Arabidopsis thaliana: one gene and its partners. The protein of the gene in region 2 interacts with the protein of the main gene of each other region in a biochemical or structural test. Each region holds a gene or a part of one and is shown on either strand. Other genes may lie near its edges.

Region 1 (8,005 bases), on a different chromosome or scaffold from region 2:
TCCATGGCTGATCTCAACACTTTGAACACCAGGAAGTGCTTCAAGCGACCTTTCAATAACCTTCATGGATTCATCAGTAAGCTCACCATCAATCTTCAAATCAATCTTGCTCACATCCTCGCCTGTACTTATAAGCACAGCTTCAAAACCAGCATTTTCTATCTCCTCCAATAGTCTATCATAGCTCGAGAGTCTAGGATCATAATGAATCTCAGCTTCTTCAATTGCTAAAGCCACATGTGCTCTTTGTACACCATTAACCGATTGCAAAACTCTTTCGATTGTTGAAGAACACGAAGTACAAGTCATACCATTAATTCTTATTCTACAAACTTGTCTCGACCTCTCATTCGCTTCATTTTCGATCAACGATGCTTCAAATCCAGCATCCTCAATAGTCTCACGAATTGTCTCCACCTATAAATCCACAATTACACAGAAAAAGAAAACCTAAATCCCAAATCAAGTCTTCTCAGAAACAATTCAACCGAGATTCGAGAGAATATCATAGCTTACATCGACAGAGTTAGGGTAAAACAGAATCTGAGCACGATTATTCAGAGCATCGATGACAGCATCGTGAATTCCAGGGAGACGCTTGATAGCCTTTTCAACAGATCCAGCGCAAGCAGAGCAAGTCATTCCTAACACTTGAAAAACCGCCCTGGAAATCGGATCATCGATCTCAAAAGCCGCCGTCTCCGACGATGATCCTCCGCCGCCGTCGCGAGACCTGGTAAGGTGCTTCCGCACCAGAGGGTAACGCTCGCTGAATCTCTCTTTCCTTATGCATGTAAGCGACAAAAGCTTCGTCGCCATGTAATCGATCGTCTTGTGCGCGAATCTTGTTCTTCTCGTATCGAATTTGAGTTTTTAAAAAGCTTTTAGGTTTATGGGAAATGATGAGACTTTTTGAAATTGTTTTGCTTTTTAAATTGGAACGAAGACGAGGGAAAGCGGTTTACGACATCTAAAATGACAAAAATGTGTGGGCCGATTTGTAAATGTTTAAACTATAGGGCCCTACCAAACAATACTTTACTTTTAAATTTCAACCGCCATATATAAAAAGAGAGAATTTCAACCTCAACAGATTAAATTCCAATTTTCTTTTAAATTATATAATTCAAATTTAATCGTCCAAAGTAACAACACCTTTGACTTTAAGGTTCGCTAAAAAAATGGATTGATTAGTGATGACAAAAAAAAAAGGATTGATTAGTGATATTATTACGACATGATGAAGTAATCTTTTTTTTTTTTTGATAATTAAGAACAGGCCTGATTAAGAATGATTAAGTAATCTTTACTTGTTTTTTTCTGTTTCAATAAAATAATATGACAATATACTAACGAAACTTGGCTAATCCATATCTGTTTTAACTAAAGGTAAAATGGAATCTATTTTACGTGTCTGTCTAATCTTTTATGGCACTCAACCTCGTAAGAAGAAGTCATACCAAAATTGAAGATTGAAAACAGTCAAAGCATTGATAAATGGGCCTATTGACTTGTGTGGCCCATTTAGACTGATACGAGGCTAAATGTGGGCCTTTTATTAAGTTGATCCATGCATTATGATTTATGAACTTCAACTACGTTTCTTCTTCTTCTTGGTCCGCAAACACTTGTCTGAGACTGATATTGATCTCAAATTGATTGCCTTGAAGCTTTTTCCAATGAGACTAATCATGTCAAACAATAGATACAATGCTCTATATAATATAAGATTAAAGGTTAGATCCAAACACACTACATTAACATTCTTCAACCTCTCATAGATTTTCAAATAATAGAGAAAATCTTTCAGAAACTATGTTCATCTCTTCATTTACAAACACTTTGAACCACCCAAAACTCAAAACTAATCAAGAACACAGACACACTCGTCAAGATCAGAGCAAAAAAAAACAATATCAAATGTTGTAATCAGTCGATTGATTTACAGAGTTGAGAGTTTGGTTTTTAGTTAGTTAGCATTGCATCATTCAACACTCGTTTTCTTTCCTTTCATCATTCTCATCACGAGTCAAGCGCCAGCTCGGCCCAAGCCAAAGAAGATGATCTAAGCTCCGCTGAAATAGACAGACTGATTCTGCTCTCCAATGTCTCGCATAGCTCTTGCACTGAGGGCTTGTTGTGATTGTTGTTGTTGTTGGTTGGGTCCCGGTTCAAGCATTGGCTAGCCACTTCGCATACCGTCTCAAGATCTTCTTGGTTAAAATGTTTCAGCTCTGGATCCACCAATCCCGACATTGCCTCTGGTGCTTCAAGGAACTCCTTTGCCTGCAAAATGCAATAGATACGTTTCAAATTCAAAACTTTTGCCACAAAAACCACATTTGAGGTGCGATATAACTAAACATGTGAACAAGGTCAAGACTTCCACATCCAGACGAAAACTCGTCTCTCCCTGAACAGACGACTCCATTCCTACTAGGCTAACAGTAACAAAGTTTTTGATATAAATGGTGAAAAAAGAGGAGGAGGAAGTAACTCAGTTTCAAGTGTTTAGAGAAACTGAGTTGTTTTTGTCTTACCCATTCAATTAAGAATCCTTTGTCTTTGCAATAAGGAGGTCTTCCACTGACAATTTCCAGCAAAAGAATCCCGAATGCATAGATATTACCCGACACATCAAGATATCGGCTCTCCATTCCGTTTGGGAGTACACATATCGAACCCTGGCTACTAATATTTCTCAAATTCTTTTCTGATCTTGCAAGAATTGTCTTCCAGCATTCGAAATCAACCAGCTGCATCAGAGAAAGTCAGAAAAAAGAAAGAATGTGAACATAAAGCTTAGCTTAGCTAATTGTATTACTCAGATAACAAGCAGGTCTCACTTTACTTTACCTTGGGAGTAAAATCTTCTGTGAGATAAATTGCGTTTGAGCTCAGCTCAGAGATTGTAAACGGAGGATCAAGTTCCATATGAAGGTACTTGAGACCACGTGCGATGCCTATAACAATCTTCATCCGTCTTGCCCACGATACTAACGCCGCTTCCCCGTCTGCATCAAAATATTTCACATAAAAATGTTATCTAGCTAAAACAATACAGGATGATGCAACAAAGCTCTGAGGTAAGTTAGACTATTTACAGTGAAGGTGCTCATATAGTGTTCCGTTTGATGCATACTCAAAAACAAGCATTCTTGTAAATGGTGAGATCTCTTTGCAATATCCAAGTAATTTCGCTGTGTTCTCGTGGTTTAATCTAGCCAAATCTGCAACCTGAAACAGTGAGGAGATGGATTTAAAATCTCAGAAAAAAGGAGGATATGTTTAAAGATTGTTCAATCCAAGTGGCTTGGTGATGATGATAACATGAGAGGAAGCTACCTCTCTCTGGAAATAGAGCTCAAGATATCCAGTCCAATCTTCTTCCTTTACACAAAGAGAGATCACCGCAATCTCAGACCCACCTTTCAGCGTTCCTTTATAGATCTGACTATCTGCTGATAAACCAATGATGTTGCTAAAGTCTTCACACGCCACTTCGAGCTCTTGTCTTGTTAATCTCGAAACATCCTTCAGCATTTCAGAATCTGTAGTTAAAATAAAAACATGCCACGTTTTTTTAGTTCTTTGCTCCATGGATTCTACATTGGAAGGTAAAGAATTAGGAAAGATTCTAACCTACGTAGACTGTGAACTTTTCCTTTTCACTTGAAGATTTCTTCCAAGGAATGATGAGAGTTGATCTATTGTTCCAGCGGTGAACTGCAGAGAAAAGTGCAACCAGAAGGAGCAAACCAACCATTGACCCTGTGACTATCTCAAGAGCTAGAAGCCATTTAGGTTTTGATGCTCTATGGTGCTTAGCCACCATTTGAGCTGATTGGTGCTTAGGAGCAGCGCTCGGGCTTCCATGAGTTTTGACCAGTTGTGCATTAGCTGCAACAGGGATAACATTCAGAAAACCAAGACTAATTGAACATGTATGTCGATAAAGTGAAAATTATTCTATCTTACACACCGCATTGGGAAGAAGATCTATGCTTAAGATCCTTGTTTTGCATGCAGTTCCCTTGAAAGCTCGTCCTAGTGACCACAAAAGAGCATTTCTAAGACTAAATTGAAGACTTAGAGAGTTCCAAAAGACAGCATAGATGATAGAATACCTTGGAAGGTTTTCTAAACATTTTGGAATATTTCCCACGAAAAAGTTGTATGAAAAGTCAGCTACTTTTAAAGATTTGCACAAACCAGCGATGTTTGCACTTGAATTTGAAGAATACCTAAATAAATTGAATAAACAAAACCCGATTAACATTGCCATCATAGACAGAAGTCACATAGTGTTTCATTTTTGGCTTCTTGAGCTATTAAACTTACACTTTCGACTGATAGCCCGATGCTCCAGCAACAAGAAGACTTCCTTGAAGCCTATTCCTGTCAATATGAAGTTCTCTAAGGTACTTCAAGTTACCGAGCTCTGCAGGCAACTTTCCAGTCAAACCATTGGACTGAAGGTTGCTGTAAAATGTGAAAAGAAAAACTGTCGTCTCAACAACTCATCTGTTAATAAGATATGAAAGCATCACTTTGACTGCGAAAAAGATGAATCTTTATTACATTATCATGATGCCGGACAAACTCCCGATCTCTGCAGGGATCGGTCCCATAAGATGATTGTTTCCCAAGTCCAAGATTTTGAGATTCTTTAAGTTTCCTATCTCCTTAGGTATTGTCCCTATTAGAATGTTCCCATGTAGGATTCTACAGAAGCATTTTAATGATGTTAATGAGATGCATCAAACTCAATGCATCAAACTACATATTTGTGAAAGAGATGAAACCGTACAGTTCCTGCAGGTACGTTATTTGACCCAATTCCGGCGCAAGAAACCCTTTTATCGATGAAGCGGATATATTTCTGCACGAAAAGAAGATCCACAAGCTATAAGCTCAAGCCAACTTCATCCTAAACCACTCATAAACAACTGATTCTGCAGATACTATACAAGAATAAGTAAACGCAAGAGAAAGAAGAAAAGATGAAAGATTCTTACATCTTGATAACATGATCTTTAGATGGAGAGCAATAAATGCCGGTCCAATCACAAGGATCTGAATTGGGGTCATTCCAATTAGACATAACTAGCAAAGGGTCCTCATAGATAGCTTCCTTGAATCTTCTAAGTGCTTGAACTAACAAAAACAGAGCAGAAGATCCATAAATCTATTAGATGATTTATATGATCAGACCTTGAATTAAAAGCTTTAACTTCACAGATTCTTCTGATCTTATCCATTAAAAAGATAAAACTTTTTCAGGTTGATTAAGATTCTACACTAATCCCAACTCTGTTCAAGTTAAGTTAGAAAGTTGTTCACAGAGAGATTCATGGAGACTGAAGAATCTAAAAAGGTATGAGCTTTATCTAGCATTTTCTTAGTAAACCTAACACAAGCGAGAAAACAATTGAAATCTGAGATCTGGGTTTAAGAAAAGTAACACAAAACAAAGAGATTAACAAATAGTTTTACCTTCATTAGAGGCAAACCCATCACAAGAAACGAAGAAGAGACCAAGAACAAGAGCTAACGAACAAAAATACTTCGATCTCATCGTCTGTTGAAAGATTCCTTCAAATTCGGCTCATTAAAAAAGAAGCGGAACCTAGATTCTTTCACGGATGATCAACAGTATAAGCTCAAGAAGAATCTGGAGAAAGACGACAACTTTCTTTGACAAGTACTCTCTGCAGAAATGAGATGTATAAGCTCAAGAAGAGACCAAGTTTAGTAAAGTAAAGAGCGAGAGAGAGAGAAGCTGAAGAATGGAACAAGGAAATGGTAAAAGAGAAGTGAAACTGGACAAGATTATTTGATTGATTTAGCAATAAACCTATCAAAGAAAACTCACTGAGACGAGAACAAAAAAAAAGTAGCAGAGATGATGAAGTGTGGCGAGAAAGAGAGAGAGAGAGAGACTTGGATTCAAAGACAGGTTTTTGTTTTTCCTTGTTGGAGGGGAAAAATGAGCTTTAATTTTTTTATAGAATAAAAATAGCTATGAAAATATACAATTTAAATAAAAAATATCACAGAAAGGAAGAATGTTCTCATCCTCTTTATCTTTTTATTTCTTTTACTTTGGGCAACTTTATGTGACTCTGAGTTGTTTTTAAATATTCTGAATTATGGATGTTTTTTTTACATGAATGTTTGTTTAGTTTTTAGATCGATTTTCTATTCATTTATATAAGTGAGAAATATATTTATCTATATTAATAATATATATACATCAATCATGTGGCAAAGCTTAACACCAAATTAATAATAAGGAAATATCCAAATCTTTCTATATCAGGAATCTAGGGGCATATGTACAACTGTATTTTTGCATGAGATTTTAATTGTAATATACAGTAAATTAAAAAATGATTTGTTAGTGTTAAAAAAATGATCTGTTGAAAAGATAATCGTTGTATTGTTATTCAAATATATATTATCGCTATTTTACTTTTAAAATAAAATGTAAATTTTATACAAAAAAAATTGTGCATCAAGTGTAATGTTCCAATATCATCGTTATTATGTAAGAGTAAAATTATTTTAGAACCTGATTTTTATTAACTTTATTAATTATAGATACTAATGTGGTATTTGTGTAGTAAGAGCAAAAAAAAAAAATATGAGAGAGGTGAGAAAAAGTAGGAGAGAAGGAGAGTTAAATTTTTCGGAGGAGAAACTTTGAGAAACTATTCTTATCAAATTTGTACAGATGTCATCATATTATTAGTTCAACTATTAAATAATAATTAATATATTTGTTTTGATTAAAATATTAATATATTTTTTTTTGAAAAACTTTCCTTATTTTTACTGATGGAAATAGTGTGCCGTAGATTTTTCTTCACTAATTTAATGTGGATCTAGTTTTTGAAAGAGGTAAATTTTTTAGTAGTGAATTTTTAGATATTCAAAAAATTAATAATAGGACAGACTATTATTCGAACGTAAAATGGAAGAGAACATCTCATTAGAATAATGGTAGAAATGAATAAATTTCGTTGGAAGATTCCTAATTAAGAGTATAATATTGTTGCTAATCATTGAAATAATAGTGCGTTTAATTTATAAAGAGAATTTATTTTTCGTGGTACGGTCACGGTGTCTAGTGTCTACTAGTCCACTACGGTGATCTAGAGCCTTGCTAAGCTGTTGTTACAACATACCGTACTACTGTAGATCACAGCTATGATCATTAAATTGTATTTTAATCAACGGTCAACATATTAACATGCAATACTAATATATAAAATAATTATATTTTGTTAGTAAATTCAATTTCATTGTAATAAAATAGTATCGTGAAGGCTATAAACAAACTTCAAATAATACGTATTTGTCAATTATAATAATAAGCTATTTAAATATAGTATGCTACAAGAATTATTATTTTTAGTGTGAGAGACAAAATGTCCCATGAAAGTTACGCCACCAATCATGCGAGCTTATGCTTGGAGCGCGTGACGAATACTCTCCGTATTTTAGGTTTATTGTTACCACTTGGAAGTTAGAATCATTAACTATCACAATTCACAAGTTCGAAAAATCATGACTATGATGTTGTGGGACTAAATGAAGAAAAAACAAAAAAAAGCTAAAATCTCCATTAAGCTTTCTCTAGAAACAATTGTTGTTTCATGGAAATAAATCAAACATAATGTCAGAATATTAGAAAAAAACATTATGCAAATTAACACAATAAAGTAGGGAAAATCAAATGGTTTAAAAGATACAACGCTCAACAACTCTATCAATTAAATAATTTCTTTTAATTGTCAACAAAGTTACACAACATATATTTTTAATGTTTGGTACAAAATCTACATAAACATTTTTAGATGAATCCAACTAACCCCTCGTTTATTTCTAGTACATTCTACGTTTCTTATTTTTTTTAATAAGTCTTTATATAAATTATATAATTGGCCTCAAGAGATCGTAACTTCATTAATTGAACAACAAACAAGAGAAGGGGACAAAT
Region 2 (6,967 bases):
ATAAGAGAGAAACATCTCTTCTGGCGAAAAAAAAAAAAAGAGAAACATCTCTTCTACTATTGTTGTTGTTATTTTTGATGCTACAAACTACAAAGTACACTACAATACGAGGATTGCTATAAACAATTCAAAATCAACATCCTTTCTTTACAAACCTGAGAAATCAATGAGTCAATTGGTGTTTTTTTCAAGTGTCCCATATCATAACAATGGCAATGACAACAACTTCAAACAACACAGCCAAAAACTTATAACCAGGCTCATCCACATGGACCATCTTGTTTGGTCGATACCCTTTTGCCAATAAATGGTTCATAGACACATAAACAAATACCCCACACGCCAAGCTCATCGAAAGTGCCAATATCCATGACCGTCGCTGCGGTGGCTTCTCGACGCCATGGAACGTGCGTCTACGAGAGCTCACATATCAAACTCGAATGAAGGAAGCTGGTGTGTATGTGTTTGTGATCATCGAGCGTTTGTCATGATCCTGTCTTCTTGTGCCTATCTATCTTGGAGGCTCAAGAGATTGGTCAAGAAGTAAGAAGCTAGTAAAAGCCAATGGTATTGTAACAAAATTTGTTTTGTGAGCGAAAATGCATTGATCAGTAGTATGTATGCTAGGTGAGGTAACTTGGCAAAGCCACTTGCTGTTTTCGACATCTTACCTAACCTGGGTATAGCTATGGTTATTATAGTTATGTGGAACACAAGCACTTGTTTTTAGCTAGCGATACAAGTCATAACAAAGGAAGTTTATAGAATGCTGGATGAGGTAGAGACTTCTGTATTGGAGATTGCCCGAAACACGGAGTGTGGTTGAGATGGAGAGGTTAGACGTGAGCATAGTGAGAGGTTTGCAGTAACTTTTGGGATTTTCTATAGTATTCCAGGCACAGAGATTCTTGTTATAAAGAACCTGTGAAGGTTTTTGAAGATTTTGATGTCTTCATCAAGCAGGTTAGCAAGATTGTAGACTGCTGATTTGTTTTAAGAGATGCACGAATGTTCAGCGAAAGCAAGCGCGAATACAACAGAAGAGTCTGCAATGTTGTCGAGCAAAGCTGGACACACTCTCTTACATGTCTTTGTGTGTTTTTCAACTCCTTTTGCTTTTTATTCACAGATTACTAAGTTAGCTAATAAAAGATATTTCAGGTAGTCCATGAAACTACATCTTGACTTGTTTGAAACTTATTATTGTTTCTACAGTTTTTGCCTCTCTTTATGATCATTTCATTCATATATTGCTTTCATGGATGATTCATGATTCCCACTGCTTGGTCTCCATCCTTGCTGCACTTGAATTGTATACTGTAGATTCCACACAACGTCTTCTATGGAAGGACGCTTGCTCTGATCTTCGCAAAGACAGTTGATAGCAAACTCTACTGTCGTCCTCAACGACTCATAAGCATATGATCCTTTAACAGATGGATCTGCTAAGCTGCTCAATACTGATGGTTCATCTCTCAAACCGTTCTCCAGCTGCAGGAAATAATAACATTGAGGTTCTAAATTTGTAAGCCGTGTCGGATTCTTAAAGATGAAAAGGTTCTGACTGAAACAGAACAGACCTGAAGCTTCAAACTTCCCATCTCTGAAGATCCTGCAGCAACTACTTTCCCTGTGATGATTTGTAGTAGTATCACTCCAAACTGGTACACATCTTCTTTCTCTCTATCTTCATTACTGCACATTATTCATTAACAAGTTTCAAAATTTGATAGAAGAGAACACATTTGATCATATCTTAAGAAACAACAACAACCTCCGAGGTTTTTTGGCTTGAGGCCTCTCTTCTCCAACCTAGAAATGCCATTAAATTTTCTTAGATTCAATTAATAGAAGAAGAAATAAAACAAAGTTTTATACCTTGGATGGTAAAGGAATAGTATAGCCACTGATTTTTACTGTGAGTGTTTCATCAAGCATGATGTTCTCTATCTTCAAATTGTTCCCAAAGATTCCTGGTGCTACTCCCATATGCAAGAACTGTATCCCTCGAGCGACTCCTATTGCTATCGCCATTCTCTGAGGCCATTTCAGTACCTCTTTCTTCCTACAGTCTGATCACAAAAATTCCCATAATGAATAACCATTTGAGTCTATGGAAACCTGAATATATATTCTAATCTTTTTCAGGTTATTATTACTTGTGAGAAAGTCCCGCAATGATCCACTAGAGATGTATTCTTGAACAATGAAGATGGTGTGTCCAGCGTGTTGATTGTGGTCTTGGTTACTGGCAATGGAGTGTCCAAGAACGCTAACCAAATGCATATGCCTTAGCTTTGATAAAACTTCCATCTGTTGAGCTAAGCTTTGTGGCAAGCTCTTCTGCTTCAGCTTGATAACTCGCACTGTCACTGGTATGCCTTCTCTTAGACAACCTCTATACAGCTGTTCGAATACCAAATATATTAAGTAATCTATTAGGTTCGTCGCCAGAGTCTCAAGTCAAGTTTTTGTTTTTACCTGTTCGCAGAACAGGCTAGCTGCATCAAAGTCGTTAGTCGCTTCTTCCAGTTCCTCCAAGGAGAAAACGCGGTACGGTGGCAAACCAATCACTGCAGATCTCATTGTCTGTGGTACACGTCCTACACTCAGAAAGATCCTGTTAATGGTTTTTGCTAGAGAAAGACTCAGTTTCAAGTGTCCAAGTATTAATAAGATAAGTCATTGTTTACTTGAATCTGGTAATGACTTAGAGCTGGCAGTTGTGGTGCTGCAAACAGAGACTTTATCAGAGGCATGTCTCTCATTGTTGCTGTTGTTCACTTCAAAAGGATCATCTTCTGATCTTGATCTTCTTCTTTTGAGGGCAATCAAAACCAACAGAACCAAAATTGCTGCAAGGATGATCACACCGATGATTATCAAAATCACTAACCCGAGTTTGATTCTTGCAGAATCTTTATCTTTAGCCTTGGGGATAGGTTCCACAGCTATTGCCTTGCTTGCTTGGTTTTGACAGAAAGAAAGCGGACGCTGATACTTCGCGTTAGGAGTGCCAATCAAAGACAAGCAGTTGAATGAGAAAAGCACTGTCTGATTACTGAAACTCTTTGAAGAGTAGCAAGAAGGAAGCTTTCCAGTTAAAAGATTGTGAGACACGTCTAAAGTTATAATCTTTGAGGAGGTGCAAGAAGAATTTGGAAGTGACCCGCTTAACAGATTCTGATCCAAACTGAGAATTTGAAGAGAAGGAATCGAAAACAGAAACTCTGGAATCGACCCGGTGAATTCGTTGGAAGAAAGGTCTAAACTTTGAAGGTTATTCAGCTTCTTGATCTGTTCTGGAATCTTGGATCTAAAGGAGTTGTTCTTCAATGAAACAGTGGTGAGCTTACTTGGGAGTGAAGGAACTTCAGGACCGAGTTTATTACCTCCCAAATCCAGCTCTTGAAGATTTGATAATCCTCTGAGATCATCAGAGACAAAACCCCAGAACATATTGTCTCTTAAAACAAGGCTTTTCAGATTCTTCAAAGACACAATCTCTTCTGGAATCTTCCCAGAGATGAAATTAGAGCTAAGATTGAGAGACTCAAGAGACGGTGATAGCTTAGTGATGATCTTAGGAGAAAGAGAACCAGAAATTCCGAGAGAAGTAAGAGACAAAGTCTTTAAGCTCGATAGTTGTGTAAGAAGAGTGAAGAGTTTATGAAAACTTCCAGAGAGCTTACTAGTTCTGTTCCCGGTGACGGTTAACTCTGTTACGTGACCATGGAGGCAGATGATTCTCAAGGAAGGAGACGGACGAATGTGACAGAAGTTGGTTGTATCAGTCCATGATTGAAGAACCTGTGGATATTGTAGTTGCTTCTGGATTTCAAGAAGAGTTTGTGATTCACTTGAAGCTACCTGAGACTCAGAGAGTACTGGAAGAAGGAAAATAAGAAGAAGAAAAGTGAAGGAAGATAAATGGATTTGAAGAGAAATCTGCATAGTGAAGATGTGTTTTGCCTTTAGAGAAACAGAAACTCACTGAAAGTTATCATTTTTCTAGGAACAAAGACAGATCTATAGGTAGTGTAGAGGAAAACTTTGGATCAAGAGAAGAAGAAGAAGAAGTAAATGAAAGTAGAAAAGCCAATTAAGGTGGAGGCAATAAATGCAATCTTTAAGTTCTTAAACTTGGTTTGGTTGTTTGTTCATTACTGCACATTGCACAACCTCAACTTGACAGACTGTTTTGCAATGAATCCAAGAAGATGAAATGTTTATTTATTTGATTTGATTACTACTATAACAAATTAACAATAAGAACTTGTATTTCACATGATTTTTGCTTTGTTTTATTAGTAAAACAAGTGCTTTTGGTTATATATGATTGATCAGATAAGATTATAGAGATGTTTCATTACTTGTCGGTGATAGGTAATGAGGATTAAGAAATTTATGTCGTGTTTTGTCTTCGAGAGAGAGAGAGAAGCCATTAGGTTTGTGTCTTTTCTTTAAAAGTGTGGTTAGAGATTCTACCAAATGTCGAGCTGTTTCTTTTATTCTGATGAACTGTTCATTTACTAATGTTAGAAAATTTGAATGGATTTTATATGATCAAGCACATCTGCACATGCAAACGGCCTTGGAATAATCGTCACTGCGAAAGTATCATTTAATATTTTCTGCAACAGACATTTTTTTTTTATCGAAAAATATGCATTTAAAATTCAATTATTTAATTTTTATTAAAATTCAATTATTTAATTTTATTAAAATTCAATTACAAATCAAGTTTGACAAAAAAAAAGAGAGGTTATTTTGGGCTTCATACGTGTAACATTTAGCCCGTATATTATATATAATACGGTTAGGCCCAAAATTGTACAACCTTTGAGTCCATATATATTTCCAAATATTTTAGTTTCTATATGATTTTTTTTTTTTTTTTTTTTTTGACAAGTAATTATACAAAAAATGATTTACTTAACATTGGGACATATATGTACTATGCTTATTCCTTGTGAATGCTAATACAGTAAATTATTTATAAACTAATCCTCGATAAATTACTATTTTTACAAATTAATAAATTCTTGACGTTTTCAATGTAATAAATAACACAAATCAATGAAATTATAAAATAATAAGTTTTTAAAAACTCTTACGTAAACATATGATCTCATCAATATCATAAATTAATAATTTTACACTTATTAATATATATATATATATATTTAATTAAATTAGTGGGATTTAACTCTAGTATTGTTCATTTTTCTTAAATTTGTATAAAATTTTTAGTAGAGTTCATTTCTAATATTTTTACTATATTGAACAAAGTGTTTTTTGTTTACTAACTTAACAATTGGTTTTTTATTTGTAATTTATTTTTGAAAGACATTGATTATAAAGACAAAAACTACTTCTCACATAGAAATTTTAAAAAATTACAAAATTAATAAAATCTCTCTATAAGATTTATTAATAAATTAATACCTTTATAAATTAATTAGAATTTATCGGTTCCGAGATTATTAATTTATTAAGGTTTAAAACTGAGCCTATAAACAAAAGAGGAGGAACAAGATCGTATTTCTAGGGTCTCAAACTACAAAAATGTAATGTATGAATTCATTGTAATCTATTTCAGTTTGTTTTTTACTTAGCTATTTAGGATCCTAGAATTTATTTATGAGCTTCTTTTGATTAAACAAAACTTTCGATTATTGTGTTTCAAGAAAAGTAAACTTCTCGGATCCTAAAACTTTGATTAGACGTCATAACATGTTTTTTATTCAGAATCTGATTTGCAGCTTTTTTGCCTTTCATTTACTGTTTTACACTAAATATATAGACAATCATCAAAATTTAAAATCTTCTATTTAGTTTTAGCTCATTTATTAAAGATCAACTGTACAAAAGTTGTAAAACAAATTCCAGTGAATGATGGTAATAAGAAATAACTTAAAATGATTATAAAGTATTACATGTTTATAGCTAAACCACATGATATGACACTTAACATTCTAATAGTTTAATTTGAATTTGGATGGTGACAAAATGATGACTCTAATACGATTTAGTTTATCTTTTGTTAATTATGTGTGTCTATCTTTCTTAGATATATTTATGTGAATGAAATAATTATTTATATGTTTTTATTATTTGATTAAAATCAATAAAATTTGTTGTAACTTAGAAATCTAGGCTTATTTCGAATTTATCTCAAATTGAGATCTAAGATTAAGTATGAGTGTTTTTGGATTGATGACAAGAGTTTTAACCATTATAATACGTTTCTTTATAATTGTAGGATTACTGCTCATGGAGGCTAATTGATCGGCATTGAGACAAAGAAAAAGTTAGTTTTCGTTTCAGATTATGATTCTATTTTTTTAGTTAGTGTTTTTTCTTTGTTGCTTTTAATTGAATATAGACATTTGTTGGGCAATTGTTTATGTAAGTCAATATGAGATAGACTTAGAGGAGTAAACACAATTGTTTATGTACGTCAACAGAGCGATTTGAGTAACGAGAATGAAAAGAGTCTTTCTGTTGTTTTAATCAGCTTTTGATAATATTTATAAAATATTCGACTTGATCTGTTAATTAAATAATTTGAAATTCAAGTATCAGTTGTTCTTATACCAAATTACAGTTTTAGCAGTATATTTTTGTAAATGAAGTGAAGATTATAAAGTATTATATGTTTATAGCTTCTTTTTTTGGTTAACTATTTATAGCTAAATCATATGATATGACACTTAGCATTCTAATAATTTAATTTTAATTTAGATGGTGACAGAACGATGATTCTAATAAAATTTAGTGTGTACTATAGATAATGTCATAGTTAACGTAGTAATAATTCATTACTACAATAAAAAGAAAAAAGAAAGTTTCTTTTTTTTTTGGTCATTATGTGTTCATCCACTTTGGTTGATTGACTTATTGTACCACCCTTACACAATTTGAATAAACGTAATTAACAAACATTTAATGCGTTTCAAAATCG
Region 3 (7,261 bases), on a different chromosome or scaffold from region 2:
CTCAAACAGCGAGCTCAGCACAAACACGAGTTAAAAGCAAAAGGAACGCCTCCTTCAAACGAAACGATAACTCCAATAATGATCATTGGCACGCAAAACGCATCGGACGAGTTCGGAACACTCGCTCGTTGTTCATCACGATTAACGACCCTCGTCTCTTCCCTCTCCCCCTCAAAGAACCACTTTCGAATGACTCGAACATCCCAACTTGAACACCAGACGACCACTTTGATCCAGGAGGCTCTTCAGAAATGTGACGGTCACGCAACACTCGAGGCGGCCCCTTTTAACCTTCCTTGTCGTCTCGCTTGACTATCACCGAGACAGCACATCGTCGTGATAGCAGCCTATACTTTGAAAGCCATGCGACGCTTCGATCTCCGAACCTTGAGAAAATTGAAAGACAAACCAAACATTGCGTCTTCCCCATGCGCGACTTTTTACTTCCTTCGATTGAGTTTCGAGCGCCTGAAATCCTGATCCACGTCATCAACGATGCATCAGGATTGGGGGGCAACTGTTAGGGGTCGGATTGGGCCTACTTGGCCCAATGCCCAAACCCAAGTCAAAACCCCAAAATAAGTTCCAAGGTTCAGCTATAAAACGAATAAACTCTATTCTTCCTCGGATATCAAGATCGTTTTCCGGCCTCAAGCTCGTCTTTCATCTACAATCGGCTCGTTCTTTTTCCATTTATGCTTGTTGAAGAAATCATCCTTTGTAATCCGTCCAATTCGCCTAAGTCGCGGGCTCGTCATTAATAGAAAGATTCTTCTTCCTTCCCTAGAGATCCCATTTTCGTACTTGTGTGATTCGTGCATCAACAGTTCCATGTTTTGATTGACGATTTCCATGTTTTGCTTACCGATTTGCATCTATAGATGCTTCTCAAAGACAATCTCGCTAGAATCTCCGTCAATATAGCCTCCGGGAGATGTATTGGTCTTTCCATTCGGACTTTGGGATTAGGGTTTCTAGGATTAGGGTCTGGAGAAAGATCATATATAATACAAAACGTAACATCTAAGTTAAGATTCCTAATTCAAAGACTCGGTTAAGTCTAACCGGAACATGAAACACAATTTAGCAACTTCCAAGAAGAGAGAATATAAATGGGAAAAAATGAAATTTCATTCACTCATGAGACATGAGCAGATTTCGTTTTTTTACAGGGAAAATGTAAAGTAAACTAACAGAAGACACAACACACTAGTACCTTGAATCAAGAACATGTTTCTCCCGAAACAGAACATGAACTTGACAAAGGAGAACACATTCAGAGGAACCAAACTCTATTGGAACCTACAAAACATAAAAAAAAAAAAAAACATTGTTCCTAAATAGAAGAAAGATCTTCGTAAATGGTCTTAATACCAGGTCTCTCAGAAACTGATCTTATACACCTCAAAGCAATCCCAAGAACTTCTTTCATGCCTTTTTCTGTTACCGGATCACTTCCCATCTCCTGAGTCAATACCGAATCAAAGCATTCTGCACCACGCCCTTCTGCAACACGTAACCTAACCCAATCGGTTAGATCAACACCTTCTTGCTCACCTGTGATTACATCTCCTGCACATCTTCCGGTTAGGATCTCAAGAAGTATCACACCAAACGCATATACATCTGATTTGAAAGAAGGTAATGGTTTTCTTGAAGCTGCTAGCTCGGGAGCTCGGTAACCGAGGATTCCTGCGTCTAGAATCTGTTCGACTGTGCCTGCTTGTGTCATGAGACGGTGGAGGCAGTAATCTGCCACACGCGCGTTTAGCTCTGCTCCATCTAAGAGAATGTTTGTTGCCTTGAGGTTACCGTGTGGAACAGCTCTGTCGAAATGGAGGTAGTTTAGACCACGTGCCACATCAACTGCGATTTTCAACCGTTGGGTCCAGGCTAAGGGAGGGCCTTTCCTGCCCGGTCGATCTGTCATCAAACAAGAACCGTAAGCTTGATGAAAAATACTGCACATACATATAATACTTAGAGAAGTTTATTGAAAGGAGCATTACCGTAAAGGAAGCTGGCAAGGCTTCCAGGCGATATATAATCTGAAAGAATAAGCTTCTCGTGTTGCGTTGGACCCCAATAGTACCCTCGGAGAGTCACAACATTAGGATGTCTAATGTTAGAAAATTTCTTCACCTCTTTAGCAAACTCCTTTCTCTGCTTTGCCACTCCTTCTCTTAGCCATTTCACTGTTAGAAACACTCCATTATCCAGCGTTGCCCTGTAAGAAGTGCCGTGGCTACTTCTTCCCAGAACTTCAGCTGGTGCCCTTGATAATTCCTCTGGAGTCAACTTAATTGAATCATCCAGAAAATGCAGCTCTCCCACAAGTCTATCTGGTGACCTCACATCAAGCCGTGCTAGTTGCTGATCAGCTGGGAATGAATCTCCTGAGCCAGGTGACCAAGACAAATTGCTGGTCTTAGAAGGAGAGAAGCCGGTTGCAACAGCTAGTTTTTCATCTGGACTGAGGATTTCGGATGATGAGCCTTTTCTTGAAGCAACCAGATCCTCAGCAGAGACAACCATACCACCTCCGCTGCCTGAGGGGATAGTTTGAGCCCGCCTATTAGTTTCTTTACCAGTAATACTACGTTCTTCGCGCCTTCTTGATTTGCAGATGCAGAAAAGGAGGATAGCCACAAGGATGAGAATAATTAGAGCAACAGCGCAAGAAACTATTATGACAACCTTAACAAGTTTGTTCGTGGATTTATTCTTGGAAGCTTCTGATGCACTTGATCCAGGGGACCCAGCAGGCAAGACGAGCTTGCTGTTTCCAGGATAAAAGGAAGGCGGAGGGAAGTTCTTCAGATTCTCTGGCACAGTCCCTGATAGATCATTATATGACACGTTGAAGGCCATAATGTTGCTAGATAAGTTGCTTGGGAGTGGTCCAGTGAAATGATTCTGGGATACGTCTAATGAGCTTAGAGAGACAATGTCATTCATGGAGCTAGGCAAAGAGCCAGACAAATTATTTGCTGCGAGATTCAGCACTTGAAGATTGGTTAAAGACCCGAATACACCAGGAAGATCCCCGTCAAACCGGTTGTGAGAAAGATCAAGAAGACGGATTCTGGAACCAGAAGAAGGCAGGGGTCCGATGTTACCTGTCATGCCATTGTTTTGAAGGTGGATTTCCTCCAAAGTGGGCATGGATAGTAACGCACCTGGAATTGGCCCTTCTAAGCTGTTAGAACTTATATCAAGTACCCGAAGCTTCGGATAGTGAGTTGGAATCCGTTCTGGAAGTGAGCCTGTGAGCTTATTGTAGGAAAGATTAAGATGATTTGCTCGCAGAAGCTGGGGAGTTGCGTCTGGGAACGACCCAGTGAAATGGTTCTGGCTTAGATCAAGGTACTCTATATTCTCCCATTTTGACCATCTTGTCAGATTTCCTTCAAACTGGTTGTTTGAGAGATCGAGTAAAACACATCCCCCAGTCAAGAGAGGAAGCTCCCCGGTCAGTGAATTTGAAGAAAGATCAAGGGTGTGAAGAGTAGTTGACATGATAGAACTTACTGGCCCTGAAACACAAAAGGAAAACCAATAAAAAAATATTAGATTTCTAGTTTTCTTGGTGCCACCGTTAACATATAACAATTTCCACTATGTAGAAGATAAAGCCAAGAGCATACCTGAGAGATTGTTGCCACTTAAATCCAGCGTTGTTAAAAGCAAAGAGTCACCTTTTAACAAATTATTGGGAAGGGAACCTGAGAATCTGTTGTTGCTAAGCTTGAGAACTTCAAGATCATAGACATAATTGAAACCTGGTAATTCTCCAGATAACATGTTGTAGCTAAGATCCAAGACTTTTAAGTTCTGAAACAACTGAAACCCACTAGTCAATGAACCTTCAAGCTGATTATGGCTGAGATTCAAGTGCTTGATACTCTCAGAAACACCAGGTAACAGTTTCCCAGACGTCGTCACCAATCTGTTTCCACTGATATCGACATAGCTCGCATTCGTTAAAAGGAAAAACTCCCCATCAAGATTACCATCAATTGAATTACCATGCAAATCAAGCACTTCAAGACTTGAAATCAACTCAAAGCCCCTTGGCATTTTCCCCGTGAATCCATTAGAAGACAGATTCAAGTACAGCAGATCGTTCAGCCTTGTCAAGGACTTTGGCAAAGGTCCAGATAAGGAGTTGCTACTCATATCCAACGACTGAAGTGAAATCAAACCACCCATAGACTCTGGAATCTCACCAGAAAAGTTGTTACCAGATAAAGAAAGATTCCTCAAGCTTACTGATCTACCAATCTCTTTAGGCAATGAAGAAGAGAACAGATTATCTGATAAATCCAGGAACTGGAGGCTTTTGAAACTGCCTAAATCATTTGGCAACACACCAGAAAGGGAATTGTTTGACATAGATAGCTTGACAAGCTTTGTCAAGTTGGAGAACAGACTGAAATCAGCATCAGCAGTCAAACCCAAATTATCCAAAACAACACCAGCCACATTACCGCCATTGCAGACAATACCATTCCATGAAGAAGGACAACCATTGAAGTCAATAGACTCATCGTTCCATGAATTAAGGACAAACCCTGTAGGGTCATGTTTGATGCCTTTCTTGAATTCAAGCAATGCCATGATGTCCTGTGATGGAAGTTGCCCCATTGCAGATAGAAAAAACATGGAGAGTAACAAAATCCTAGAAAGATTCATCCTTCCTTGACTTCAAATCTTTTCCCCCAAAAAGCTACAGTTTTTGAAGAATCCCAACAACTTTTCCAGCTCACCAACGCAGAAAATTCATGGAACCCCAAGTAAATCTGACATAAAACATAATGAAATAAGACAAAACCCATCAATGTTACCAAAAAAAAGTTTAAATCTTTCTGCAAAAATCAACAATACCAGAAATTTCACTCTGATAAAAAAAAAAACAGAAGCTAAAGAAAGAAACTTTACCTAAGATGAACAAATCTTCTGAGAAACCCCAATCAAACAAAATGCAGTAATGCTACTGAGTGAGAAGAGACAATCTTCACTCAAAGGGAATCAGCTGAAAAAAACATTAAATGAACAAATGGGCTATTCAATATTTGGGTCCCATTCCGAGATCTAACCTAACTCCAAAGCAAAGAGATAAATGAAAAGTGAGGATTTTTAAACTTACGGGGATGAAAAAAGCTTCTCACTGCAAGAACAATGTCGACAGAGTTGAAGAAGAAGGAAGACAAAAACTTTAAAGCAGAATCATTTTGTTCATTAGCTCATGAACTGCACGGGGTTTTGGATTAAGCTCAACAGTGTTGTAGACTGAGTCACTGAGCTAACTGAGGGAAATCTTTGTGGGTCACTTTAAAAATTAAAAACCCTTAAAAGATTGTCACTGTTTAAGAACAAAAGAAAGAAGCCAAAACAAAATTAAAGATAGAGAAAATGTTTTGCTAGTTTTCACGTTCGACAGTGACGAACGACAAGGACCTTGTAAAAGGGTAAGTCTTGAAGCGTGTGAACGGACACCAAATCAAAAACCCTAAATAAAAAGTAAAATAGCAAGAAATTATTTTCATGGGTTCACGAGAAGAAAATTATATATTAATTTACTTTTTCATAGTCTTTTCAGTGAGGAAAGATTTAAAATATAGTTTAATTACCCGCCTGGAATGGCCCGGGAAAGGAATCCAAAAAAAATGAAAAAAGCTACTTACACTAATGTTTTTAGTGAGTGTGACCATGGTGGACGTGAAAGGGTTTATCCAATATGGTTATGAGTCTATGTCCTTGCCTTTAGTGAGAGAGATTTACAGCATTGGGAAAATAAGCGAAAATTGCGCAGTGTTCTAATAAATTTTGGTAGAAACTTGCAATAAATGAATTTACATAAATAAATAATAGGGAAAATAAAAAGAGTAATGAGAGTTCGGAGTGAATGTTATTTACACCAAAATACAGATATTAAAAGCTTGCAAGGAAAATGTGTAGTAAATGAAACATGATTTTTTGAACAATCCAGAAAAAATAGTAATGAATATTCGGACAAATAAATATTTTTGAAGTTGATACCACATTAATTAGTAGGAAAATGTAGAAGCGAAATAAATACCGCGTAGGAAAATGGGTCCCACATGCTGACTACGTTGACTAGGGAAGACCGGAAGAGACAAGGGCATCAGACCAATTATTTGGGTTCTACTGATAATGTTGAAAGTAAATGTCCGGGTTCAGAATAAATTAATAGTTAAGGGGTCATAATTCAAAAAACAAAAATCTGAGTGTTTTGATGAGATTACACACTTACGTCTAAAACTCACTCTCATTTGCTAATTGTTAACTTGCTCTGAGTTTGAAGAAATTCATCAATGGCGATTCGCAGAGCGCAAACTCTACTTTGTCTTTCTAAATTCAAAACCAATTTCGTGTCTGGGTCGCTCCACCGGTTCTCTTCTTCGTCTCAAAATTCAAATCAATTCCAGGTTCTGCTTTTTAAATTGTCTTCATGATCAGAAAACATAATCTCTTTTCCTCATAAGTCACCTAGAATTTTATTGAAACGTTCTAAAACATGATCCTTAAGGTAGTTGGAATAAAAGATCTTAACTTTTGTAATCTCGAGCATAGTTAATAAGAATTTTAGTGGCCAAATTGCTTATTGATCTTGACCACTTATCTAAATTCATCAGTTCTGCAAAAAAAGTTGTCTGGATTAGATTTTTAACAGCAAAATTTGTCTGATTCAGTACCCAAAATTTATGTAAATGAAGTCTCATTTTTGCTGTTTTGTCAGAATGTTGGTTTCATAGGACTTGGAAATATGGGATTCAGAATGGTGAATAATCTAATTAGAGCTGGATATAAAGTTACCGTTCATGACATGTAATGTACTTTGAGTGCGTTTTGCTGCCTATCAATTTTCATATTTGGTTAATGTTGATTCCTTTGATTAACTTTCTTGTGCATATACTTGTGTTTGAATTTTCAGAAACCGTGATGTTATGAAAATGTTCACTGAAATGGGAGTCTCTTCTAGAGAAACTCCTTATGAAGTTGCACAAGATAGCGAAGTTGTGATTACAATGTTGCCTTCATCATCTCATGTAAGTTATTTACCTTTAGCAATAGTTTTATATGAAAACAGTTTGAAAGATCGTCCTGTTAGCTGTATGATTAGCTGCACCTAGTCTACGAGATAGTATTGTTGTTTACTCCTGGTACTGAAAGAATGTTAATCTTCAATTGATTGGATGATTTTTATGAAGGAAAAAAAATTGTGATTGATGTAGGT
Region 4 (9,113 bases), on a different chromosome or scaffold from region 2:
TCTATAAAGCAAATGTATCAGAAAATTACCTTGAAGTTCATCTTTTCTGGGCTGGAAAAGGGACCTGCTGTATTCCTGCTCAAGGCACTTATGGGCCATTAGTCTCAGCTATCAGTGCAACTCCAGGTATACATACAGCAGAAACTTTCATGATCTTCGTAGAGTCCAATGTATCTTCTAACTAGCGGCTTTTATTCTCTGCAGATTTCATACCTACTGTAAAAAATAAGTTGCCCTCGAAATCCAAGAAAAACATTGTTATCATTGTAGGGGCTATTGTAGGAGCAGGGATGTTATGTATATTGGTGATTGCTATCCTCTTATTCATCCGTAGGAAAAGAAAAAGGGCGGCTGATGAAGAAGGTAAATGAAAAGTCTTAGCTGTGGCAGTTTTATTAAAGTCTAATCGTTAACAACTGTAACCTTCTAAGTGGTATTTATCAAATATTTCTCAAATGCAGTGCTAAACAGTCTGCACATAAGGCCCTACACCTTTAGTTACTCAGAACTCAGAACTGCAACTCAAGATTTTGATCCTTCCAACAAGCTTGGGGAGGGAGGATTTGGACCTGTTTTTAAGGTAAGACCGTACACAGAATGTGTACCAATATTGGGAGTCTAGTGTACTAGAAAGTTATGTAAAATTTTACATTATCTATATTCTAAAAATATTCATTGGTACAGGGAAAACTGAACGACGGAAGAGAGATAGCCGTGAAGCAATTGTCAGTTGCATCCAGGCAAGGAAAGGGTCAATTTGTTGCGGAGATTGCCACTATATCAGCTGTTCAGCATCGCAACCTTGTAAAATTGTATGGATGCTGCATTGAGGGAAATCAGCGCATGCTTGTATATGAATACCTCTCAAACAAGAGTCTAGATCAAGCTCTATTCGGTAAGTGCATGAGATCTTACATGTGTTATCCTTGTAAAAAAAACAAATGCTGTTACCTTACATGTTGCGTGACTGTGGCAGAGGAAAAGAGTTTGCAGCTTGGTTGGTCACAGCGTTTCGAGATATGCTTGGGAGTAGCAAAAGGTTTAGCATATATGCATGAGGAGTCAAATCCCCGTATAGTGCATAGGGATGTGAAGGCAAGCAATATTCTTCTGGACTCGGATCTGGTCCCGAAACTCTCAGATTTTGGGTTGGCCAAACTATATGATGATAAGAAGACCCACATAAGTACCCGAGTTGCAGGGACGATGTAAATATCCTGAAAACCTCACATTGGATGTGGTTTGTCAAATGGGCTAAAACTTACCGTTGTTAAATGTTATATTGCAGCGGATATCTGTCACCAGAGTACGTGATGCTTGGACATCTTACGGAGAAGACGGATGTGTTTGCCTTTGGTATAGTGGCCTTGGAAATTGTCAGCGGAAGGCCTAACTCCTCTCCAGAATTAGATGATGACAAACAATACCTTCTCGAATGGGTATATATCTAACTTTTCCTACAAACACATCCTTTTTAATTCCAAATTTGGTGAATAATTTGGTCTTTGCAGGCATGGAGCCTACACCAAGAGCAGCGTGATATGGAAGTAGTAGATCCGGATCTGACAGAATTTGACAAGGAAGAAGTGAAACGTGTAATAGGAGTAGCGTTCTTGTGCACACAAACAGATCATGCAATACGACCAACTATGTCCCGAGTGGTAGGTATGTTGACCGGTGATGTGGAGATAACGGAAGCCAATGCCAAGCCAGGGTACGTCTCTGAGAGAACATTTGAGAATGCAATGAGCTTCATGAGTGGTTCAACGAGCTCGAGCTGGATATTGCCTGAAACTCCAAAAGATTCTTCCAAGTCCCAAGTTGAAGAACATGGACGACGACATTGAAACTTGAAAACTTGTGGTTTTTCTATTTTTTGTTCTTACATAAAAAAAAAGAAGTCAATATAGAAATCGTTGTTGGTAAATAACACATATACATATTCGTTTGACCAAAATTGGATTTGACTGTTTCTCCTGAAAGTTGTGTTTGGTCCCATTTTTAACATTAAAATCCCTTAAAACCATCATTGGCATTTAGTATCAAAGTCCAAAGGTGGTGATGCTTCTTGCACTCGTAGGCAGCAGCCGCCATTGTTGAAATCTCCCGTTGACAACGCAGCGGAATCTCGGTTTAAGCGCGTCCACTTCACGGCTTGTGGATGCATCGCGTGAGACGCACTGCTCCGCGTAGTTGGTTAGACCATTAATTAAATTCAAATTAAGCCAAATGAAAAGTATCTCTTCAAAGTCCAACATAAACACCATTTTTGAACCAAATTAAAACCTTCTCCGTCTAGTTTTGGCGGCTATCATCTTCTTCTCCGTTTAATTTTAGTTTCCGACGATGCTCAGGCTATGGCGGTATCTGTGTCTACTCCTCACTGTCTGGTTCTTGTGTAATTTCGGTCCGGTTTACGTGGTTCGAGCTCAAAATCGAACAGGAGCCACCACACATCCCGACGAAGGTCTGTCTTCTTCTTCTTTGAACAACTTGACAAGTTCAAATTCAATCGATCGGATTGAAGACTGTGTAGCTAGGTCTTAAGCTACTCTTCTGATCCTAATTGATAAAACCGATGTTTACATTTATAATATTTTTTTATTTTATCCTAAGAAGTTTACCGGTTTAGTTTCAATTGACATTTTTTGTTTAGTTAATCGTATTTTGTTAAGAGCTAATAATAATTGACTGTTGTAAATAAAAACAGCGCTAGCTTTGAACTCAATTTTCGCGGCTTGGAGGATTCGGGCGCCGAGGGAATGGAACATCAGCGGCGAACTTTGCTCCGGCGCCGCTATCGACGCCAGTGTTCTCGACTCAAACCCTGCCTACAATCCTCTCATCAAATGCGACTGCAGTTTCGAAAACTCCACAATCTGCCGCATTACCAACATGTAGGGCCTCTTTCCCCCTTTTTTCTGCACCCCATTTGTTCGACGTATTCTCCCACTGGGAATTGACTTTTGTGGGGGAAACGAATGGTTTTCAATTTCATGTCTCAAATTCTTCTCCTCATTTTTGGATGTTGTTGATGTTTTCACAGCAAGGTTTATGCGATGGAAGTTGTAGGATCTATACCTCAACAACTCTGGACCTTGGAATACCTGACAAATCTGTATGGTTTTACTATCACTTGATGATTATACAATTTCAGCTACAAAAGGAGCACACATTTTCACAATTTAAAATCACTTCTTTCAGGAACTTGGGTCAAAATGTTCTCACTGGCTCACTTCCTCCTGCACTTGGAAATTTGACTCGAATGCGATGGATGTATGTCTCTGACACCTTCTTTTTTTCTTATTGTTTGTGGTGAATGTCTACACCTTTCATTGATAATGCACCCTTATAGGAACATTTCTTGTTTCTCACTCTCAATTGTTTATCACGTAGGACTTTTGGGATCAATGCGTTGTCTGGCCCTATTCCTAAAGAAATCGGTTTGCTTACAGATTTAAGATTACTGTAAGCTTAGGCTGCTTCTTCATTGTTTAAATATGATAGTGTCTTCACATTGCTTCTGGAGGATTCTGACGGTTCCTTATACACTATATATATTTCTGCAGTAGTATTAGTTCAAATAACTTTTCGGGTTCTATACCAGATGAGATTGGGAGATGTACAAAACTACAACAGATGTGAGTTTTCTGTCAATCTATAAGTGTTTATGTCTTTATATCCTTGGTTATAATTTAGATATGATTAAATATTAACCTTTGAAATCATTTAGCGATCACCGACCTCAAAATTCTAGCGCAGTTGATGACTGATGGGAAATTTCTTCCATCTATTGCAGATACATAGATAGTTCGGGACTCAGCGGGGGATTACCTGTATCATTTGCTAATCTTGTGGAGCTGGAACAAGCGTAAGACATATTGAAGTCGAATATAAGCTTTATTGTTTAACTTTAGTTGCATCTTATTTTTGTAATCTATTTATTACTTTACAATTTAGTCTTTTTTGCCGTGATGTGATTGTTTCCTTAATGTGGTACCAGTTGGATTGCGGATATGGAACTTACAGGTCAGATACCAGACTTTATAGGAGATTGGACCAAACTTACTACCTTGTAAGAAGTTTTCATTTTTACGGTTATATAATAGGCTGGTTCCATTGATCTTTTTTTTTAACCAGTCTTTTTTACATTTAAATTTGGGATTTAACGGCTGGTACGTGTTTTACTGCAGGAGAATTCTTGGAACTGGTTTGAGTGGTCCGATACCGGCGTCGTTTTCAAACTTAACTTCTTTGACAGAGCTGTATGTGTTGCATTGTTGTCATAATCATTATCGTTTTACTGTTGCTCTTCCTTTCCTTTTCTCCACATATTCATATACTATATGTAGGAGGCTTGGTGATATATCCAATGGAAATTCTTCTCTTGAATTCATCAAAGACATGAAATCTCTAAGTATATTGTAAGGCAGTTTCAACTTGAACTTCTAGGAATTGATCTGGTTCTCTCCTCCCTGTATTTAACATTTGTAATATATGTGGCAGAGTATTGAGGAACAATAATCTCACTGGGACAATACCGTCTAATATTGGAGAATATTCAAGTTTGCGACAACTGTACGTATATATGTCAATTTGTTTCTTCAAATGCTCTAGCAGCTTTTTCAGGGGTTTTTTGTTTGTAAAAAGAGTGAGATGATTTGTGAAAGTCACGAGAAATTACGAATTGATCCTATATTTCTGATTATATAATTTCTTATTTTTCCTCATTTATTGCTTAACAGGAATGGTTTGACGTTTTACCATGTAATTCATGTCTGTTTTCCAGTGATTTGAGCTTCAACAAACTACATGGAACAATTCCGGCTTCACTTTTCAACTTAAGACAGCTTACTCACTTGTAAGATGATATGTTTTCTACTTTTGGATCTTTATGTACAGCGACCCGGATTATTGTGAAAAAATAACTGTTGTCTTCATATTAGGTTTCTGGGGAACAACACGTTGAATGGCTCATTGCCCACTCAAAAGGGGCAGTCTCTGAGCAATGTGTAAGTAACAAAATCCTTTATAATTTTTCCATCTTTAAAAGCCATGTCCCCTAGTTTCTTGGACGGTTGTTAACTGATATATACTCAAGTTTCGTACACTTTTTACTCTGCATTTATTCAAGTCGAATAAGAATTCCACTCTTGGTGACACAAATGACATGCCAAGATAATTAGGAAACTATTTTGGTAACATATTCTGGCGATCCTAATTAGTGTTCTTCTATGCTTACAGAGATGTGTCATACAATGATTTGTCTGGAAGTCTTCCGTCATGGGTCAGTTTACCAAACTTGAATCTGTAAGTAAACAAAACACTATATCACGACTTATATTAACAGTGTTTTACATTCAGAAATTTCCCCACATGTATATTCATTAGACTTCTTCATATCCAGCATGAAGCTTCCTTTTTGTATGAAATTATTTATTATAATCATGTTAGAGAGAATAATATTAAACTAAACTGTATGTTCTTTGTGCAGCAACTTAGTTGCTAACAACTTCACATTGGAAGGTCTTGACAACAGGTGACTTTTTAATTAATGTTCTTGTTAGGGCTTGAAATTGCTTTCCCTTTGTTTCTCTTTTCTCTTTTTTATTTGTTGCTTGCAAATAGTTTAATCATATGTTTAATTTCTTTCTGTAAAAAGGGTTTTATCAGGACTGAACTGCCTGCAGAAGAACTTCCCATGCAATCGAGGGAAAGGAATATGTAAGTGTAACAGCAATATCCGCTTCTTGAGCAAATGTTGGAAAAAAATCCGCTAAATTTTTTCTCTTTACACTGGTGTCTAGATTCTGACTTCTCAATCAACTGCGGAGGCCCAGAGATAAGATCTGTAACTGAAGCAGTATTTGAGAGGGAGGACGAGGATCTTGGACCAGCTTCATTTGTCGTGAGTGCTGGTCAGAGATGGGCAGCCAGTAGTGTAGGACTTTTTGCCGGAAGTAGCAACAATATATACATATCTACTTCACAATCACAATTTGTCAACACTTTGGACTCAGAGCTATTTCAGTCAGCAAGACTTTCTGCATCTTCCCTAAGGTATTATGGGTTGGGTCTAGAAAATGGAGGCTATACCGTCACACTTCAGTTTGCTGAAATACAAATTCTAGGTTCTACTTCCAACACTTGGAGAGGTTTAGGAAGACGACGTTTTGACATTTATGTCCAGGTCTGCACTACTTGACCGAGCTTTCTGCTTTACAAATTAAATTTTGGTGTAATTATCTGCTTCCGACTTTTGATTCTGATGAATTCTAAGACTAGCTCACTTTTTCCAGGGAAGACTTGTTGAAAAGGACTTCGATGTACGCAGAACAGCTGGTGACTCCACTGTTCGAGCAGTTCAGAGAGAATATAAAGCAAATGTATCACAAAATCATCTCGAAATTCATCTTTTCTGGGCTGGAAAAGGAACATGCTGTATTCCTATCCAAGGGGCTTATGGGCCATTAATATCGGCCGTCGGTGCAACACCAGGTAAATAAATGGTGAATTCTTCTTGTTTTACACCATCTCCTGATGCTAGTTAGTGCTTAAGTGTTACATATTTCTGTTCAGATTTCACACCAACTGTGGGTAATAGGCCACCATCAAAGGGAAAGAGCATGACTGGTACTATTGTGGGTGTCATTGTTGGCGTTGGACTTTTGAGCATCATTTCTGGTGTGGTTATCTTTATCATCCGAAAAAGAAGAAAGCGGTACACAGATGATGAAGGTATAGATGTAAAAAGCTCTTGAACTGTAGAATTTTGGCCCTCTGATTAAAAATTAGTTATATATCATCTCTCATATTGGTCGATTTTAAGAACCGAATTGTTTCTGGCAGAGATACTTAGTATGGACGTTAAGCCTTACACCTTCACTTACTCGGAACTTAAAAGTGCAACTCAAGATTTTGATCCCTCAAACAAGCTTGGAGAGGGAGGATTTGGCCCTGTTTATAAGGTAAGTCCCTACTGAAATTTGTACATATTTGAGATATTAGGAAAGAAGAGTATATGTGTACTATCTTTTGTTTTGATATTACCTTTTGTTTTGACAATATCATTTATTGAATAATGCATTCAACAGGGAAAACTCAATGATGGAAGAGAGGTAGCAGTGAAGCTATTGTCGGTGGGATCCCGACAAGGGAAGGGACAATTTGTTGCAGAAATTGTAGCAATTTCTGCAGTCCAACATCGCAACTTAGTAAAACTTTATGGGTGCTGCTATGAAGGAGAGCATCGTTTGCTTGTATATGAATACCTTCCTAACGGAAGTCTTGATCAGGCTCTATTTGGTACGCACAGAAGCATGTTTATCGATCCATGCTTCTGCCAGGCTAAAATCACTCATTATGTACATGTCATTGGTTTGAATGTTGCAGGGGAAAAGACTTTGCATCTTGATTGGTCAACCCGTTATGAGATATGCCTGGGAGTAGCCAGAGGTCTAGTCTATCTCCATGAGGAGGCAAGGCTTCGCATAGTACACAGGGATGTGAAGGCCAGCAACATTTTGCTTGACTCTAAATTAGTACCAAAAGTTTCTGATTTTGGGCTTGCAAAACTGTACGATGACAAGAAAACCCACATAAGTACCCGGGTTGCAGGGACAATGTAAGTAACTCCCAACCCTGACCTCTGGTTTGCAACACAACTATGGATTTATAACACATGTTGGTGATTTTACTGTATCAATGCAGTGGGTATCTTGCGCCAGAGTATGCCATGCGTGGACATCTAACAGAGAAAACGGATGTATATGCCTTTGGTGTTGTGGCTCTTGAGCTAGTGAGTGGAAGGCCAAACTCTGATGAGAACTTGGAGGATGAAAAAAGATATCTTCTTGAATGGGTACGTCCATACTTCAACACTTTTTGATAATGAACACAACTTCAATGTATGTGACCATGAGAGGCTAATCTGGGTTATGCCCTTTAGCAAAAGCTGATATTGATTGTGTAACTTGTTCACAGGCATGGAATCTACACGAGAAAGGCCGTGAAGTTGAACTTATTGATCATCAGCTGACTGAATTCAACATGGAAGAAGGGAAACGCATGATTGGCATAGCCCTGCTGTGTACACAAACATCTCATGCCTTGAGACCACCAATGTCACGAGTGGTGGCCATGCTTTCAGGAGATGTTGAGGTCAGTGATGTCACTTCAAAGCCAGGCTACCTAACCGACTGGAGATTTGATGACACCACAGCCTCCTCAATCAGCGGCTTTCCATTAAGAAACACACAGGCTTCTGAATCCTTCACGAGCTTTGTGGCGCCTAGATCCGAGATATCACCGAGAAACAACGACGCTAGGCCAATGCTTGGAGCCCAGATGAATGAGGGAAGATGACAAAGACCCTATATGGTGGCTATAGATATAGTCATATAGAGATTATGTTTGTGTATATGAGGTTCACTTTATTCTTCTTGGATTGGAAAAACTCTAGATTTCACTTTGGTTAAATAATAATAATATTTTAGCTCCTCTGACTTCCACAAGCGGTCGTGATGGGCCACGTACTATTCACGTCCTCAACCAAATCAATGCCGTCTCTTTTACAGTGTAACTGTGTTGGTTTCCAAATGAAGGAAGTTATTAAGAACACTTTTCATGAGTGGTTCAACGAGCTCGAACCGGATATGACCTGAGATTCTAAAGAATATTTATGAGTCCCAAGTCGGAGATGGACGACGATTTGAAACTTGAAACGTGTGCTTTTGTTTTTATATTTTGGTGTTTGTCTTACATTATTAAAAGTCAATAAAGAAATGGTTCAGGCAATTTAAGCAAGCCATGTTGATCAATTACATAATCTTATAAACGTCACATTGAGATTGTGTTCTGTTGAATTGAATGTTTTTGGTCTAATTGGTGATGTTTATTACGGACGACTCGCAGCGCAGCCGCCACCGTCGTTGACACAGCAGGTGCACTCCTCGGTCCACGCACGTGAGCTTACACGCCCTCGCTATCGGGACAAGACCATTAATTAATTCAAATTAGCAAATGCATCTCTTAGTTTGGTAACGGCAATTGTTATAGTATTTAAACTGAAATCATAAATGAACCAAAAGCTTAGACCTCTCAACTAAATTTTG

What was found.
Region 1: the proteins of AT2G02780 (region 2) and AT1G63430 form a complex in vitro, tested with the Arabidopsis thaliana proteins (one large-scale study listed by BioGRID).
Region 3: the proteins of AT2G02780 (region 2) and GHR1 form a complex in vitro, tested with the Arabidopsis thaliana proteins (one large-scale study listed by BioGRID).
Region 4: the proteins of AT2G02780 (region 2) and AT1G56140 form a complex in vitro, tested with the Arabidopsis thaliana proteins (one large-scale study listed by BioGRID).

What each region holds. Positions count from the first base shown.
Region 1 is NC_003070.9:23,520,469-23,528,473, reverse strand, and holds AT1G63430 (Leucine-rich repeat protein kinase family protein), read right to left. Parts: upstream 5,978-8,005; 5' UTR 5,579-5,977; coding exon 5,497-5,578; intron 5,158-5,496; coding exon 5,019-5,157; intron 4,883-5,018; coding exon 4,811-4,882; intron 4,726-4,810; coding exon 4,582-4,725; intron 4,483-4,581; coding exon 4,342-4,482; intron 4,245-4,341; coding exon 4,128-4,244; intron 4,048-4,127; coding exon 3,983-4,047; intron 3,901-3,982; coding exon 3,643-3,900; intron 3,552-3,642; coding exon 3,346-3,551; intron 3,238-3,345; coding exon 3,105-3,237; intron 3,015-3,104; coding exon 2,857-3,014; intron 2,757-2,856; coding exon 2,541-2,756; intron 2,359-2,540; coding exon 2,023-2,358; 3' UTR 1,642-2,022; downstream 1-1,641. Other genes in the region: HMA5 (heavy metal atpase 5), read right to left, coding at 1-417, 517-819.
Region 2 is NC_003071.7:780,693-787,659, forward strand, and holds AT2G02780 (Leucine-rich repeat protein kinase family protein), read right to left. Parts: upstream 4,231-6,967; 5' UTR 3,955-4,230; coding exon 2,694-3,954; intron 2,604-2,693; coding exon 2,482-2,603; intron 2,407-2,481; coding exon 2,160-2,406; intron 2,073-2,159; coding exon 1,879-2,072; intron 1,813-1,878; coding exon 1,775-1,812; coding exon of another isoform or gene 1,750-1,774; exon of another isoform or gene 1,696-1,749; coding exon 1,581-1,695; coding exon of another isoform or gene 1,518-1,580; exon of another isoform or gene 1,492-1,517; coding exon 1,240-1,491; 3' UTR 982-1,239; downstream 1-981.
Region 3 is NC_003075.7:11,200,114-11,207,374, reverse strand, and holds GHR1 (Leucine-rich receptor-like protein kinase family protein), read right to left. Parts: upstream 4,648-7,261; coding exon 3,648-4,647; intron 3,537-3,647; coding exon 2,010-3,536; intron 1,924-2,009; coding exon 1,337-1,923; 3' UTR 1,095-1,336; downstream 1-1,094. Other genes in the region: AT4G20930 (6-phosphogluconate dehydrogenase family protein), read left to right, coding at 6,339-6,452, 6,764-6,852, 6,959-7,073, 7,260-7,261. UniProt on the Arabidopsis thaliana protein: Receptor kinase acting as an early component in abscisic acid (ABA) signaling.
Region 4 is NC_003070.9:21,000,959-21,010,071, reverse strand, and holds AT1G56140 (Leucine-rich repeat transmembrane protein kinase), read left to right. Parts: upstream 1-2,216; 5' UTR 2,217-2,346; coding exon 2,347-2,467; intron 2,468-2,710; coding exon 2,711-2,897; intron 2,898-3,046; coding exon 3,047-3,118; intron 3,119-3,204; coding exon 3,205-3,276; intron 3,277-3,396; coding exon 3,397-3,468; intron 3,469-3,569; coding exon 3,570-3,641; intron 3,642-3,799; coding exon 3,800-3,871; intron 3,872-4,003; coding exon 4,004-4,075; intron 4,076-4,193; coding exon 4,194-4,265; intron 4,266-4,352; coding exon 4,353-4,424; intron 4,425-4,506; coding exon 4,507-4,578; intron 4,579-4,789; coding exon 4,790-4,861; intron 4,862-4,946; coding exon 4,947-5,012; intron 5,013-5,244; coding exon 5,245-5,310; intron 5,311-5,494; coding exon 5,495-5,539; intron 5,540-5,662; coding exon 5,663-5,724; intron 5,725-5,807; coding exon 5,808-6,190; intron 6,191-6,299; coding exon 6,300-6,498; intron 6,499-6,579; coding exon 6,580-6,738; intron 6,739-6,849; and 11 more. Other genes in the region: AT1G56145 (Leucine-rich repeat transmembrane protein kinase), read left to right, coding at 1-126, 205-363, 462-580, 685-1,208, 1,289-1,439, 1,512-1,847.